Caenorhabditis elegans: one gene and its partner. The protein of the gene in region 2 purifies or fractionates together with the protein of the main gene of each other region. This does not show direct contact. Each region holds a gene or a part of one and is shown on either strand. Other genes may lie near its edges.

Region 1 (8,014 bases), 180 kb from region 2:
AAGAGACAAAGGGTAGGAAAAAAAACATATGAATTTTGAATCAAAAATTAAACTTACTGTATAAATTTATTAGCTTCATCATGTTACGCGGGATATTAAAAATATCGACGTATTTATCTCTAAAATCATAGAAAACAATTTATCCTAAAAACAAACGACACAAAATCTATCTAATGCTCCATCTTGTATAAATGAGCGGAAATTCTCATTACCTCCCTTTCCGTGTTTCATTCTCCTGATTTTAAAGCCGACACAAAACAAAGCATAGCAATCTCAGAAAAAGGCGAGGTCATTCCCCCCCGCTGCTCTTTCTTCATTCATGTTTTACGGCGCAGTTTCATGGCGCAATACTATTAGCATGCCACTCTAGTTGCTACCAGACAGCTGCTCACTTTAACTCGACCCACTTTTAGTTTTTACTCAAATCTCGGCTTTCCATTCCTGAATAACAAAGTCCCCCCCCGCACACAAACCTGTCAATAATAACTGGATCGCTGGGTGTCTCGTTTCGATTTCCACAACTCTTTTTCTCGCAGCACCGACTGCACATGACTTCGTGTGTGAGAAGCACTCGGCACATCTCCGGATTTTTATCTTGTCCTTCGTATGTGATAGCCTAGAATTTGATGTGATGACTTTAATGGTGTTGTGTGTTTGGTGCCTATGCTCATTTCGCGCGTTTTTGTGCTCGCGCGCCGATAAACTTGGCGATGCTTCAGACAGAGCTTGCCTTTTTTTCTGTCCGTGCCAGATAAAAATGATGAATGTGAAAGAAGCTTCGATGAATGCTTATACATAAACGGGCTTACAGTAGGCAAAATTGAGAAAATATTGGTAAGGGAATTAGGCGCATTTTATATGTGTATGTGGAATGTGTTATAGATCTAAAAAATTATCTAGCAAAAAAAATATACCTGTTTAGTGGAACTATCGATGAGCCGAACAAACAGATCATGCTCACTGCGGATTCCTGAAAGAAAAAAAGGTTTGCAATTTTTCCCATTAGTTAGATTTTCTTAGATTCCAACAACTCACCATTCTGAAACATTAGAGACAGACGATAGTGTATCCCATTTCTGGTATCCTGACCGTCAACTTCTTTCTCTTTTTCAACAAATCCTGCAAACTGAGTCCGCTCGACTTCAATCGGCTGGCTGTTACGGTCGTACAGTGCAATGACAAAGTGAAAGAAGTTGGATTTACGGAGATTGTTTGGTGGGTGCTTTTCGAAATGAGCTCGTGCGATTTGAGTGCTGAAGATAAAAATTTTGAATAAAAAGTTTTGAAATGTTGTTTACAATTTAATTTGTTAAATAGAATTATTTCAATTAAAAATACAAAAAATATATAAATTTTCAGTATTGTTTCTGGAGAAATGAATATTTCACCAGGGATCAAAAATAAGAAAATTAAAAACTAACCTTGTATTCGACGTGTCGATGATTGGCCACGTGCTCCGCTGGTTCTCATCTTTTACAGACCTGAGTAAGGTATTCGAGTCAGGAAAGAACATTTGCACAGCCAGCGGCCCCTCGGGAACCGGCCTCATTAGACACAGATCCACAAGCGTGCTCGGCAGAGCTTCGCAAGCTCCGCCTACTGCGCACTAGGGGCCAATGGGTGGGCACACAGTAGGAAAAACATTGAGGGGAGAGTAGCTAAAAAGGAATCTGGCGACGGGCCGATTTGACTGCGGCTCCGGCTTTACTGATGTTGGAGTAACGATGAAGCACAGATAAAAGCATAGACAAAGTTTTGGTTTGGCGGGGAGAAAACCCAGCCAAAAACATGTGATGAACTAGGGGGTGCTTCAATTTTTCAACTCGGTGAAGTTGGGCTCGAAAGATAATTATTTCTCGTGCTTCTCCCATTGCGATCTCATTTAAAACGCTACCGACTTTTTTTTTTAAGCAGATGAAAATTATATATTTTTCATGTTTTATGAACATAGTAAATATTTTGTTCTGTTACGTAATCTTGGCTAAGAGGTTCCCAAAAATCAAATATATATATATATATATATATATATATATATATATATATATATATATATATGCTTATTGAATGTATTTTCGTTCCGTAATAAAACTGTAATTTATTTTAGAAAAAACATCTTAACCATATTTTGATACTTGTGTAAAATTTGATAATGACCAACCCTGTACTATTTTTATTTTTAGGCCTAAAAATTATAATTCGATATGCAAACGAAATATTGTTTTCAAAGTTCAGATCCGCCATGAAACATTTTCAAAAAGTGTACAAAAAATCTCATTACGAAAATGGGTTTAATTTTTTAATTTAATTTAAAACGAAAATGGGTTATCTGAAATTCCTAAAAAAAACCCTTAAAAATATTTTTTGGGATAATGCTATTTTGTTATTGTATAGCTGCTATTATGAAAAATTTTTATATTTCAATTCCCTTTAGATTTCGTGATCTAGACAGTAATGTTATTTTCTGAGTTTTTGATAAATGTTTTGAACGAACATTTTTACGAACATAACAATTAATAAAATCTACTTTTCGAGTAGCTAACATAAAATGCAATTATCTCTTTAATGAAATGAAACAGACTTCATGTTATGTTTAATAATTGATTATTGGAAATTGTAATATTTGTTGTATAAATGTTCAGAAGACGATTCCTTGTCTTTGCTCCTTTGCTCCTACGCCTTCACCCATTTCAGAAAAAAAAAACTCAACACAAAAAGTGAAGCATTCTACTATCTTTCCCAAACATGGTGATATGTGGTGTGCTCGTGGGCTCCTCACTTCACTCTGTCATATATGTAAATGGTTTGAAATCCGACAAGACAGCTGCGAACTCGTATAACTGGTATGTGTGTTTGTGTGTGGGTTTGTGAGTGCTCTGCCCCGTTTTCGAAATATGCAAATATTTCTGGACTAGCAATAAGAGATATATAACCGAAACGCGCGAAACGGAGATGGCCTCTCTCTGTCCACTTGTTTCCAGTTATCAGTTTGTAGCCATCTACGCAATTTGTAACATCTCAATAGCCCAAATCTCATCATTCACCATGTACGGGATTCTAGATTCGGAAGGAATTGAGAAATTTATGTAAAAACAAAATGCTCAAATCCAAGCAGAAAAATGAAAGAAATATGGATTACAAAAACGTTTGGGAACAACAAGATGATGTACTTTTTGAATTATTTCTAAAAGTTCATCTTCAACATCAGCACCTGAATCATAACAACGTATGACGCTATAGAAATGACGTTATACTTACTAAGTTAATTGTTAATTTAAGTGTTTCAAACATAATTCTAGACTTACTAAACTCATCGCCAATAAAGCTCAAGAATGTATCGCAAGCCATGAACACCTTACAATTTCCCCTTTGGGAATGAAATCCCGCTAACGTCATCAAAAAAAAAGGAGTTGGGTCTCTTCTATTTCAAAAGTGTCGTCCTAGAAGTTCTATCTTACCTTTGAAGGTCCGCAAAGACACCAGAATTGCTGAAAAGCAAGGATTCCAAGGTTTGAGTATTCATCAGATAATAATATTAACGCTCACCAAGCAATACTAATAAGAGTGGCTGTTATGGACAAAAAAGAAGGATGATAGTGGCTATCAATTCCGAGGGTGGGTTGTTAGGCAACGAGCCCGAGTACGGCTAATTGAAGCAAAGTCAAAAGAGAATATACAACTGTTGAGTTTGAGGATAGACGGAAAATATTATGAGCGAAGAGATATTTAGCTTGTGATAGCTAGTATACAGCTATTGTCATAGATTCGTTAGAATGACTAAAACTTTAGCCAATAGTGCATTGAGAATGAGGAGGCTTTCAAACATAATAATGAGGTATGAATCACCTTAAAGATACACATTTTGGTATTCAGGAATATGGTATCAAAATGTTTTTAGAAAATAGACAGGTTTAGAAAAGATGCTTACAAGGTGTATTTTTGTGATTTAGGGGGCTCATTCCTAGTTAAGAAATAGTTGTATATCTATGTAGTTGTATATTATAATTTCCAGATTATTTAACCCATTGAATGATATGTTTAGTATGAAGTATGCTTGGAAATAATATTAACCTAAGCTCAAAAATTGAACAAATTTCTTTGTAATGGTTATTAATGAATAACCTAGATATGATGGCATATAATACACAAACACCTAATCCTACAGGGTGGTCCATAATTATGGACTTGTTTTTGAAATTGTGTACCAAACGTAATAAATTTGAATTAACTTCTAGTAGAACCTCTTCGACTTTTACTAAGACAAATTTAATTAAGGAGTTACGTCTGAACGGTATCAAACCCAAAAATAAATAAATTTTATTTTAACAACTTCCAGTATTCCGGAGCCTCAGATCAGTACAGCTCCCATACCAGATTCTCTTTATTTATTTATTAAGATTCTGCTCAATTTTCCAGCATCAAGTTTTTCAAGGCAGCCTAAAAAGCCATGTAAAACAACTTACGGTTGAATGTGAAGATTTAATACAGGATTATAAGGTTCATCATAGAAGTTCATCTGGCCAGCTCTTAGCGGAGCTGTCAAACTCATGCCACAGTTTTCGGATCAAGTGGGAGGCAACAACACCAGCTACACAACCGACTCTGCAAAAGATTAATCTCTTATATGTCACAAGCGGTTTGGGTCCGACGGCCTCCCGTCCAAGTACGCCTGATAGATGCAACAAGGAGAGGAATAACGGAGCGAGTGTGAGGATTGAGCCAGCTGACTGTGAATTATGGTTATGGAGATATGCCTGATTAGCCGGAAGGCACGGCGCGAAACTTTGAAAATCTCTACAGCAAAAAAATGGGGGGGCAGCTGGGGGAAGATTGTTCGCACCCCTTTCACGTTCAAGCCTGGTGTGGTGGCTCACCAAAAATATTACAGAAAATAGTTGTATGACACACAGAAAAGTCAAGTGAAGGATTTCATCAATCATCCTAGAAAGCATAGCATACCACGCCTTGGTCCTCTTTTGTGCATACTTCTTCACAATCTTCAACAATTGAGACGTGAGAGGTCAGACAGACAACACTGAAGAAGGCAACACAAAAAAAACGGAAGAAGCACAAAAAAATAAAGAGATGGGAGAGGATGAGAGGATAGCGAAGAAAATTGATGGAGATTCGTGTGTCCTATTGCAGATTACGGTATCTGGAATCAAGAATGTAGAGTGTTTGGCTATTTGTGACCATCTTCTTTTAGGAACAAGCCAGGAGCCAGCATTTGAAGTCGTGCAAGTGAAGTGTAATATTGCTCATAGTTATCAACTTGGCGAAGTTATCACAATTGCTTTGATAAAACATTTATATACACAGAATATTGTTCTCAAGTCGGTATTTTTCTTTTCACTAAAGCAACGATGTTTCAGATCTACCGTAGTTGCTAAGATGTTTCCAGGTGTGAGTGAGTGCGCAAAGTTCGTTTTCAGGGATGCTGGAATTATCAAAAATATTTATCATGGTGTTGAATTGAAGCTGAAATATTATTATATAAGTTGTGTTATATTGGGTTTTATTTTATTTGTAGTTTCGGAACGCGAGGTCTTGTAGCCACTTGAATGCATAAGGTTTTTCTGCAATTAAAGTAGGTATTCAGTTGTGTTGTTCCAACTTCAAAAAAAAGTTGCACTGTTGTAAACTGGACCCCATAATTATGAACCACCCCGTTTGTATAAAGAATATTGTTTATGCACGTGGTGCCAGGCTGTCCCATCACGGTTTGATCTACAAAAAATGCGGGAATTTTTCTCCCAAAAAAAAATGTGACGTCAGCACATTTTTAACCATGAGAAATCAGTTGAGAACTCTGCGTCTCTTCTCCCGCATTTTTTGTAGATCTACGCAGATCAAACCGAAATAAGACACTCTGACACCACGTGTTTGTACAGTTTTCCAGTATTTGCAGTTTGTAATACAAATATTAAATACAATAACATAGCTTTAGATTTGTTGCATTCATTTGAAATTTTTTCTGATAATGGTGGGGAAATTAATTCTTCCCTTTTAAAAATGCTTGACAGAAATATTTTAATACACAGCTTCAATCGGCAGACTAAACTTAAAGAGCAGGTTTACGACAGCGTTGTTTTTTTTTTCTCGTCCTTCTATTTTTCGACATCGGAACGTCTTGTACCATCCAGCACTTATTTCACAATGTCAACTCACTTTACATATCAACGCTCACGAAACAAAATTTTACGACTGAAACGCTGAAACGACTGAACTGTGTGCTTGTAAAATTTCCTTTCATTATTCTATAAAAGCGATGCTCGGGCACTGATAGTGATTGCCATCATCATTTGTGCAATACGAATGGCGGCGCATCAAATTTTACTCCTTTGTTTGTTACTACTATTAGCGCCGTTGCGGAATGGACAAACCACGCCGACCACGAGAGCCCAGGCCGATTTGGTTAATCAACTGCCAGGGACTATTTTTCAGGTAATAATACATTTTATATTTTTGTTTTTTGAAAATATGTATGCAGAATTATTTTATTCCAAATTTCTGTGTTTTTAGGTAAAATTTAAACAACTAAAAAAGTTCGCAGGTTGATTAAACACATTACCTTTTAGGTGAACTTCAAACAGTATGCGGGTTACCTCAACTCTGATCCCAACAAAAACTACAACAATCTTCACTATTGGTAAGTTCAAGATATTAATCTAAACATTTTATTATCTGGATACTGAACCTTGACTACCAAACAAAATAAAACAATTTCAGGTTAATCGAATCTCAACTGACCCCTTCCAATGATACGCTCCTTCTTTGGATTAATGGAGGTCCGGGATGTAGTTCAGTTTTCGGGCAGATCCAGGAAATCGGCCCATTCCATGTGTCTAGTGATAGTCAGACGGTGTATGAAAATGTGTTTGCTTGGAACAAGGTGTCCAATTTGCTTGCCATCGACGGTCCGGGCGCCGGCTTCTCATGGCAACAAAATCTCTTTCAAGACGACAGCTACGTAACTGGTGCTCTTCTTAACGCTCTCATGGATTTCTATACGGTGTATCCAAATATGCTAAACTCTGATCTCTACATTGCTGGTGAAGGATACGGATCTTTCTTTGCTTCGTCGTTGGTAGAATCTCTGATGGTGAATAACACTCCAAGACCGGACATTGTTACCTCTCCAGTTAATATTCGAGTGAGTTATCTACAAAAGTTGTTGCAACACTATCAGATACATTAAAACAAATTTTATGAGTTTCTATTTATTCTTATCATAGTTCAATTCTGAAGTTTGCTGGGAAATTTTAAAAATGAAATTTTTGAAAAATTCAGGGACTTCTTCTTGCAAATGGTGACTTGAGTGCTCGCCTCCAATACAACAGTCTCATCCCATTCTACTACACTCATGGATTTGCCGGATCAAAGTTGGACCTATTTTTCTATCATTTATCATTTTGAATTTATTTTCAGACAATATGACGATCTCAAATCAGTTTGTTGCACAAATGCTTCCACCCAAACTTGCGATTTTTTCAACAGTAACACAGCATGCAGAACCAAAGCTGACAACGCAATTGCCACTTGGTCAAATTATCAGTACGTGGTTTTTGATCGTTTTTAATTTGGAATGCACACTTGATTTTATCACTTGTGAAATTGGGAATGGAAAGTCATCAAAATGAGGGGAAAGTGCTATGGTCACAAAATATTAGAGAACAAAGACCAGATTGCAACAACGCAACAATTTAAAATTTTAGAGCCAATAAGATAGTACTTACAAGAAGGGGGTGTTCTGAAATCAATGTAAATTAAATTCATTTTAGCCTTTAGTTTGATATTATCGATTTACTTGATCACACAGCTACAACTAGAAATGAACTTTTGATTTTTAGAAATGAACTTTTGATACAATTGATTCTATAAATTTACTGACCATCTATTTGAACACATGTTCAAGCTTTTAGTCATTTCCATACTTGAACATTCTGTATCAATTTGGTTTCAGAATTGACAACACAAACATCAACGAAGACTGCTACAGAAACCAAGCTGCATGGCA
Region 2 (9,221 bases):
TCTCACAGTCTGAAGAAATTCACTTATATAGGTACATAGTTTTCACTTACATGATAAAAATGTCTAGTGTCAATCAACAGTCTAAAGAACATGGTTGAACTTGTTCATGAAAAACTGCATAAATCATGTCATCGATGCGCTTTTGATTCCCACAAAAAAAAACAAAAATTGCAAACGTTCTGTAGTCGATATTATCTGGAAATGGTATGTAAAAAGTTTAAAAATTTCAATAATCTCTGTTGAAACCGTATTCAAACTTTTGAATATTCATTTATTTTGTTAGGTACATGACTGATGTAAAACACATCTGGAGATTTTTTCAAACATTCATAATGAAAGGGTGATATTTTGACATTAGATTTCTAGATAATCGTTTCATTTTTTATTCTTGTTCACTACTTATGAAGCTTGAAGAATTGCTCCAAAAGCAATGTTACAGACTCTTGATGTTTCTTGCAAATGTTTGGCCTGAATTTATCTCTGACTTCGGCCTGCTATAGTAATTTCCAAGACAACTAACAGTTTTGCAGCAAAAACCGCAAATCATTTTCAATTTAATTACTGCCATCTTTGCACAGTTTTATAGTTTATTATAGTTTATCAGTGGTTTTTTTAAATCAAAGTGCATTTTTACAATAGTTATTCAAATTTGGTAACATTTGTGAACTTACTACCAAATATACAATTTAAAAAGGTTTTGTAATTTATAAATACCATTAATAAAATTCTCAACATCACTGCAAACATGACTTAAGTTAATATACAAAATTATTTCTCAAATTCCTTCCAGCAAAGAAGTTGTGTCTCATTTCACAAACCCCGAAAGACAACTCCTCGTAGCATCTTTCGGTCTTTCTTCTCGGCGGGTTTTGCTCATTTCCAAACTAATTACTTGCACTGCATCAGTTGGAAAATCCCTCAACACCCATATTCCGGTGGCTTTTGGTAGGTGCTTTGTGATTAGGTTATGCTATTTGTAAGTCACACGAAATGACCTAATTTCGCTGGCTTTTTCTTTTCCTGTCCTTTTAATCTTCTTTTTCAACCATGGCTTTCCGAGGCTTCGTAACCGCATTGTGGCTTTATTGGGAATGAGAATTTTTGAAATTGTTGCTACGAGTTTCGGAGAACATCAGTACATCAGTACATCAATGAGTAGCAGAATGAAACAGGAACCCAAAAACCAACTCAAATAAAATATTATTTGAAAATTTGAAAAAAATGTACCAAGAGGTACCCTGAAAGTTGGGAATGTGTGGCCAATGTGATACGTCTTTGAATTTATTTTAAAATTCAGTTGCAGCTTCTTAACGAACTTTTTTCGAATTTTTACCATTTTTTTACAGCGGCTATTAATTGACATTTAATCAGTCATTCTTCATTGAACAAATTTTTTGGCATTAATTTTGCGTTGTTTCTCAGTTAAAGAAGGACTAACAGTTCGGACGATTTGAAATGTATAGACCCAAAACAAGCTTAAATGAACGATATTCGTGATTAAGCTTCTCAAAAAAAAATTTCGAAAAATTTTTATGGCGGTTCAAAATTTCGACAAAATTGCACTGATTTTAGCTGGAATCTCGAAATTTTTCCCACTTTTCTGTGTCGCATCAGTCCGATGTTGACTTTTTGCATATTCTGGTAGTTTATATTGTTCAATATCTCCAAATAAGGTACATTTAAAGCCGATAGCTTACAAATTTCAATGATTTTTGAAAAAAAAATGGGTGCAAAAATTTTGTGACTGTTTCACACATCAACCGAAAAATTATCTCCTAGCATGAAAGAGCATGATGAACCAGACAAATCTCGTCAGACCCATAATAGTCCAAAATTACCAAATATTTAAAAACTAATTATATAAGTTCCAAAGTTTTGGTAAACTGCCAAACTTTTGAACTGAAAGTACCATAAAGCTGCATTCAAATTTTTTCTACTTGCTATATTAATTTTTTTTAATTGAAAAATTTTGCTCTACAAATGTACTGAATTTTTTAAAAACCGTGTTTACTTGCAATTTTAAAGTTATCGGGTCTGACTTGAGTGCGTGTTAATAAAATTTGATAAACGAGTTTCAATATTAAACATTGTTTATTAATAAGGCTAGGCTACTCACCGAAAGCATTTCAAAAATGACAGAAAAAAACAACTGTTAATTGAAAAAAGGGAAATTTGAATAAAGCAAAAAAGCAAATACATCATATGTGCGTGTAACATCGCAATACCATAAAATTATGGAAAAGGAACTGAAAAAGAACAGATATGTATAAAACGTCTGACCATTAGCGATATAAACAATAATCAGTACATAATGTATGTGTTTTGAAAAAAGGATGACAATTGATGTTGAGGCTTGTTTAAGGATAAGAGATCAATCATCGAGTTTGTGAACTGTGTTAATGAAATTGAGGTAAGGAAAAATGTCAGTAGATAGAAAGGAATTTTTTACTAAATACAAAAAACCAAAGGTAACCAGCACAATTCTCATTGTCCTTATTACCTTTGAATACAAGAATTTCACACAAATTATGACACGCTCAAATTCAGTACTTTCTCCTCTTCATCATCAGCTTCCTCCATTTCCTCGCCCATCTCTGCTTTGATCGCGAGCAGCTCGGCGGGTAATCTAAAAAAAGCACAGTTTTATTTGATTGCACAATTTTGTTTGTGAACATGCCTAAACACGTTGAGAAATTCATCGGAAGAGTCGAGATACCCGTTGCTCGTCGGAGGTGTCATGTATCCTTTCGGGGAGAGATCCGATGAAATTTGAGAAGCAGACACTGCAATTGTTACGGTTGGTTTGATGGAAAAAGGGGGGGAGGGGGGTACTGTAGCATTTCAAAAGGAACAACCAACGAGAAAATGGTGTCCTTGATTGGCTGAAATTTGAGTGAAAAACGAACCGCATTCTTCGGGGTGGCCCGGATGGTGACTCTCGCGGTGCCGACGGCGGTCCACTTTGCGTTGGAACGTCCGACCACATACATCACAGGCAAATGGCTGAAGATAATGACCTCATTTTTAAAGAATAAGGAAAGGAGAACTGTTACCTTAAATCCAGTGTGTTTTCGTGTGTGGGTGATAAGGTTAGAAGACTGACTGAACGCTTTTCCACATACAGTACACTTGTGTGGTTTTTCACCTGAAAATAAAGTATGGGAAGTTTTAGATTAGACATTTTATTTTGTGTAATAAATTTTGGGCACGGGTGGCTAAGTGGTAGTGGTGTAGCACTGTCGCCCAAGAGGTCGCAAGTTCAATCCCACCACACCCCAAAAGCTCACCCAGCCGGCGTGGAAAGTGGGTAGTGAATTTGGTTCACGAAAGGTAAATCGGAGCATACTGCTAGTCCCGGTACGGCCTTAATTCAGACTAGAAGAGATATAAACGCAACCAGTAACCCTGATAAATCTCTGGGCCGCAGGAGGCTTCGGCTCACCCTTGAACCAAACGGACAACCTTTGTCTTTTTTTTTTAATTTTGTGTAATAAATTTTCAAACTATATTTAGAACTCAGCAGTCAAAATATAATTTTTTTTTGAAACCCTGTTTTAGGGGGAATTTGTATTTTATAAAATAAGTGAATTACTTTTCACTACAAACTTTCAATGCGTCCATGAAAAATATATGTTTTATTTTCAAAGGCAACGTTTAATTTATAGCAATTGTCTCAAATTGAACCTTAAAAAAATACAAATTTTGTTATTATTCTGTTGCACAGCAAAACCCCGTCTAGAGATGGAATCCCAAAGTTTTCATTGCTTCTTTTTCTTGTCAACTTCTGTAGATTGCTTTGCTTGTCAGCATACAAGATTTAATTTGTTTTTAATTTTCAAACGTCATTCAAAGAATCTTTTCTCTCCGCGCTTATCCAATACCCTACCCCTACCCCCCCCCCCCTACTTCCAACCTTTGACATCTCCCCTCAGAATTTTAATTTGAAGCAATTTTGCAATGTTCAAGCTGTGTTGAGCTCAGCGATGCTCCTCGCTGTGGTTTACTGCCTCTCGGGGAGTCTGTTAGTTGAGGATGGGGGGGAGGGGGATAGCAAAAACGCGATTTAATATTCAATTTTGATTTGTGTTGCGGAACGGTAGGGAGGAGGGGCACTGACATGACTCGACTCTTTCATACTGATTCATCAATCATACTTAGAGATGAGCAGGGCGCGCAGAAAAGAAGAGGAGGCTCATGTGCACACGCATCTGACAACTTTTCGATTCATAATAAACCAGAATAACGATTTCTCTTCTTTCAGAGTTGAATTTTCAATGAATCGTGTTAAGCGAAAATAAACGATGATTGCTTAAAACGAGTTGAAATTGTAATTGAAAAAGATATGGTGGTTCGCTTCAAAGACAAAATTTGAGTTAATTGAACTTATGAACTAGGGCTTTGAATCTTCTATAAAAAGCATGAAACCTTGCTGGAAACACTTATCAATATTTTTTAAGATAAACTGTCACATAAAGAAATAAGTGATGCCAAACTAGTAGGGAAAAATGGTAACTCAAAAAAAATTAAAAGAAAAGTCATAAAACCTTTTTTATTATTTTCTAAAAACTGGCTACATTGAATATTTATTCAAAAGCTTAAACGAACATATACATATAAAAAATAGGTTTGTCAGAAAATCCCACGTTTTTGAAGTACTCATGTATCATATTGCAAGCAAAATTTATATCGATTTTACGCCGTAGTGTCTCCTGCATCACAGCTAGTTTTATAATTTCAACATCCTAATGCGAGACCATGTCATAGAGGATTTTGTGTTTTTGAGCACAATGTACAATATAGGCAATTTAGTGGTTTGGGTGCAAAATACATACGTTCAGCGTGTTTGTAATTATTAAATTTTGTATTTCATTGGGAATAATTAATTTTAACCTAACTTTATGAGCAGAATTGCGTTATTATTTGCTGTTATAAATATTATCTTTATCGATAAATCTAGGATATCCTATCAATTTTACCAACATACCTGTATGAATATATGTGTGTTTTTTCATGTCCGACTTCTGATGAAATCTTTTTCCACAGTATTCACATGGATACGGCCTTGTGTCGGAGTGAATCAGAAGGTGTGTAGATAAGGTGGAAGATCTGAAATTGAAATTTACTTTTTTTTAAATTATGTTTTCATGATAATTAAAGTGCATACCTTTTGAAGGTTTTTCCACACTGCTTGCACTCAAATTGCTTATCGCTGACGTGTACTTGTTGGTGTTGCTGAAAAGTTTTAAATTTTTGAAAATTATTTTAAAAATACTGGTTTCACCTCTAGAGCAGCTATGGTAGAAAATAATTTTGTGCATTTTTGGCAATGAAACGGTTTGATTTCCACTGGAGGTGTCGGTGTTCGATTCCAAACTGAAGCTTAAAATACATATTAATGTGAATAGATAAATGTTCAAAAAGCTTGATACCTGATGGTGATTCAGGGTTCTGAGGGATGATACCCATTGCCATACTCCTCAGGTATTGCTGCCAGAACATGGGAGCGTTGAGAAATCCGAATGGAAAATTTCCAAGAATATTTACAGGAGGAGGACGGGGCATTGCTGAAATGAAACTTGATAGTTGGAAACTCGGAGGTTCTAGCATACTTTGCTGCATCATGAGGAGCTTTTGTTGTAGTGATATGGTAGCGGCCATTCTCTGCCAAGAACTCATCACATCTTCTGTGATCATGAACTCATTTCTATCTTCAATTGATTCTGAAAATGTCGTTATTTTTGAATTAAAATAGATTTATGCACAAACCTGTTGGTGAAACACTAGACTTTTCCACGTTCGAGAGTAACGATTCAACAGAATAGACATTTGACACGTGCTCAGTGCTCATCTTCGTCTCAACACACAAAAAATGAATAAGGGAGTAGGACGAGGACGAATCTCTGGAAACGCGTGCCTTGAATAAAAATTTTTGAAATCTTGAAATTCGAATTTGGCACCCTGTTCGCTGAGCCACTGAAAAAAAAGAAACGAAAATCTTTGTGATTTCTAGAGAATTGGATTAAATGAGACAAGAACAGCGGATGGGAAAACAAGAAGATGAAGACGTCAAATCAAGGGTCCATAGGGATTTCTGAGGATTTAGAAAAAGACGAAATCAAGGCCAATTAGGAACTTTGGAATGGATTAAAGATTTGAAACTGGAAAGTTAGCAGGAAGTGAAAACGAGTTGAATCTTTCTTTTTTTTTTCAAAGCCATTGTCATTTGTGCTCGGCGTAGTGTGAAAATAAGCATATAAATAATAAATATGAACATCAAACTGCATCACATCCCTATAAGCAGAGGGTAAATGGGGGGATGGCTTTGGATGTCCGAGCTGTGACGATTTGAAACTCGAGCTGGTCTACATTCAAAAACCCAACTGTGGAAGAATCTGAATGCATCTCAGCACTGATCCGTCCTCCTCCTCTTCATTTCGACCATGTTGCCCTGCCTCCTATTTTTCCCCTCAGATGCATGTTATTGGATCGCCCCGCCCCAGCAGGCAAAGTGTGCGGCGAGCTCTCGGTTAGCATATTTGTAGACGAGTCGAAAAAAGGGGAAGAGAAGCGTTGGAAAAAGAGCAGAAAGAATCCTTGAGGTCAGGTTTTATGCTCAATCTATTATGCTTGTTTTAATAATCTCATACGATTTACGATGTAGTTCAAGCATGAACTCAAAGTGACATAATCGGAGGCGCGCTGGTGAGTGTGAGCAACACTTTGCTCTTCTTGTCCAGCAAAGGGCATGTAAGGGACATTAATGGAATTTTTAAGAGCGTGAAGCGCAAGAATCTCACTGCCAGAATGCGAAAGTAGGAAATCTGCAAAAAAGAGGAAACGTCGAAAAACTGTTTCATCGAAAATTCATAGAGCTAAAAATCCCACGATTTCTTAGTACAAGGAACTCGAGCTTCAAGAAATAGAGAGCTTTTAGTTGGAAATAATAGAAGTTGATAACTTGAAGCAGGTCGTACAATGTGAAAATTTTACAGTATTTTCACAGTAGTTTAAATATCTCAGAAACTTCTGCAAAACTTGCAGAATTCTAACAAGATCAGTTGTAAATAAATTCACTTTCTGGAGTTGGATTTGGCAGTGCCTGTCAAAAATCTAGTGTCTGCTGCTAATTCGTATTCATTCCCCGTACCGTAATTAGTATTCATGTGCACTATGCGAGCTTGCGCACTCTTCAACATGTGGGAAGACAATCCATTGGAATTTCAATTTCTCGAATCGCATTTCAATCTTTTGGGTTGGCTTCAAAATGGTATACCCATTTCCGAGCTCTTTTCTCCACACTCAACCTTCCATCGCTCCTCCGGTGCTATGCATTTTTAAACGACTTCCCACAGTGATGGCGGGGGGTTCCAGGGATGGAGGAAGAGGGGGGGGGGGGGAAGAGCGAGAAGATTGAAATAAATTGAGTGTCATCCTAATGCATGAATTTGAGTTGGGTGGGCTCACTGTGTGATGGAAACGACGTGTCGAACAACACCCAGCCAAAATAGCGATATGGGTGTTGAATTGAATGCATACGGTCTTTTGATTTATGGAATTGTTTTTCGTGTTGGGTTAATTAGAAAAGAAGAAGTCCGTGAAAAATGGAAAAAAGTCTAAGAAATAGTTAGGTTTATGAGCATTTGGGGAGCTATCTTAGGTCAAGTTTTGGATGTTTTACAAAAATGTTAACATTTTTAAAACTAAATCCATATAGAGCTAGCCCATACATTCAATGTTTGTGGTCCACTGTTTGTTGGTTTTATAAATGCTCATTTTGTATTTCTAATGATCAAGTGTACACGAATATTTCCTCCGGTTGAAAATGCTCCTTAATAAGTCGAAAATGCAGTAGGTGCCGATTTTGGCATCCCCCTCCCCCCCCCCCCCCCCCACACACGTATATTCCCAAGCGGCTTCCCGTCTGCAATCGGTATGCATGACGAGAGGTGATTGGATTCGGAATCGCGTTTTGGGACGCGCACACACACGGGCGTAGATATTTGTCAAGAAATTTGTTTTGGCTTCTATTTGAGACGTGTGAATTTTCAGAATTGGTAATAGCCTTCTTCTTCTTCTCACCCACCAACCACACTCACCCAGGGTTTTGGATGACACTGATCCGAAATTCAGTGTACCTGAGAAAACTGGGAAACTATCAAATATCATAAATGTGCTGTGAGAAAAATTGGGATTCTAGAATACGAAACTTCAAAACGAAAGGAAGCATGAGGGAACAGAAACCGCGCCAAATTTGGAAATGCCCACTAATAAAACAAAAGTCAATTGTTTGCTCATTACTTTGATTGCGCGCTAAGCTAAGCACCTTGCGGCCAGGTTGAGTATGTAATATGAATCCTGAACGCTGAAAACTCTCAATTCCCTCCCATTCTGCCTACTTCATCTCCACTTTTGATTCTATTGGCTCAAAGCAATGAAAATGAAAAATATGGAGAAGATGAAGCCGGCTGACCAACCATCTCACCACTTTTATGATTTTTCAATTCAGAAATTTATCTATCCCCGGCTCTCCATATTACGCTGACTAGTAGCAAAAAGTGGCCTTCTTTTGCCTTCTCGCATGGAATATCTACCGTAGTCCCCCGGTACATATGGCGGCAGCTCCAGAGACTCAGAGAGGCGTAATTGGGAGGAAAAGCTATGCAGGAGAGGAAGAGTGAGCATCCTATCGTCAACCATTTTATGACGCAATCTAGCTGCCTGGATAGGATAACAGAGCAATTGTCCGGTTGGAGCAGTGCTCGGACGTTATCGGTTAGGTGTGTCTTACTCGTTTCAGGGATTCAACGGAAATTGCAGAAAGTTTTTTTTTGCAAATCAGTAATTAAATAAAACCTGCTCGGTAAGCTCCTAAAATTAAAGTTGAGAACTTAATCTGAAAAGAGTAATTTTTTTTTTGGTTTGCCTTTTCAAAAGTTTCAAAAATTTGTAATTTTAAAATCATTAAACATGTATCAATTTGATAACTTACGCATAACTTTTAAACTATAAAGTTTACCATAATTTTATGCATTCAAAAAAAAACACTATTATCGCAATGTTTAGCCCGCCGTGGTTTCTTATTCACACTATGTTTGCGCTACCGATCACTGGTAAATCTACAAAACCGTATATTCCAATAAATTAAACTGTCTGTCAGGATCAAAAAATTGAAGTAAAAATTTGGAAGATTTTTATTAATTGGGAAACAACATTATTTTCAT

Evidence for each region.
Region 1: the proteins of pag-3 (region 2) and unc-3 purify together in Caenorhabditis elegans (affinity purification with western blotting, with the first as the bait; one study listed by BioGRID). This does not show direct contact.

What each region holds. Positions count from the first base shown.
Region 1 is NC_003284.9:14,770,123-14,778,136, reverse strand, and holds the start of unc-3 (Transcription factor unc-3), read right to left. Parts: upstream 4,600-8,014; 5' UTR 4,547-4,599; coding exon 4,461-4,546; intron 1,482-4,460; coding exon 1,422-1,481; intron 1,254-1,421; coding exon 1,036-1,253; intron 971-1,035; coding exon 915-970; intron 617-914; coding exon 474-616; intron 1-473. Other genes in the region: Y16B4A.2 (Carboxypeptidase), read left to right, coding at 6,313-6,441, 6,576-6,646, 6,727-7,150, 7,288-7,379, 7,426-7,551, 7,961-8,014. UniProt on the Caenorhabditis elegans protein: Transcription factor. Involved in motor neuron fate determination and maintenance, acting as an activator of gene expression in a subset of motor neurons. May act in concert with GFI1 homolog pag-3 in motor neuron fate determination.
Region 2 is NC_003284.9:14,948,674-14,957,894, forward strand, and holds pag-3 (Zinc finger protein GFI1 homolog pag-3), read right to left. Parts: upstream 5,976-9,221; 5' UTR 5,849-5,975; coding exon 5,767-5,848; intron 5,721-5,766; coding exon 5,610-5,720; intron 5,565-5,609; coding exon 5,430-5,564; intron 5,380-5,429; coding exon 5,282-5,379; intron 5,233-5,281; coding exon 5,165-5,232; intron 5,107-5,164; coding exon 4,985-5,106; intron 3,388-4,984; exon of another isoform or gene 3,238-3,387; intron 3,146-3,237; coding exon 3,054-3,145; intron 3,004-3,053; coding exon 2,907-3,003; intron 2,784-2,906; coding exon 2,678-2,783; intron 2,627-2,677; coding exon 2,527-2,626; 3' UTR 2,079-2,526; downstream 1-2,078. UniProt on the Caenorhabditis elegans protein: Transcription factor. Plays a role in the determination of neuroblast cell fate and neuronal differentiation.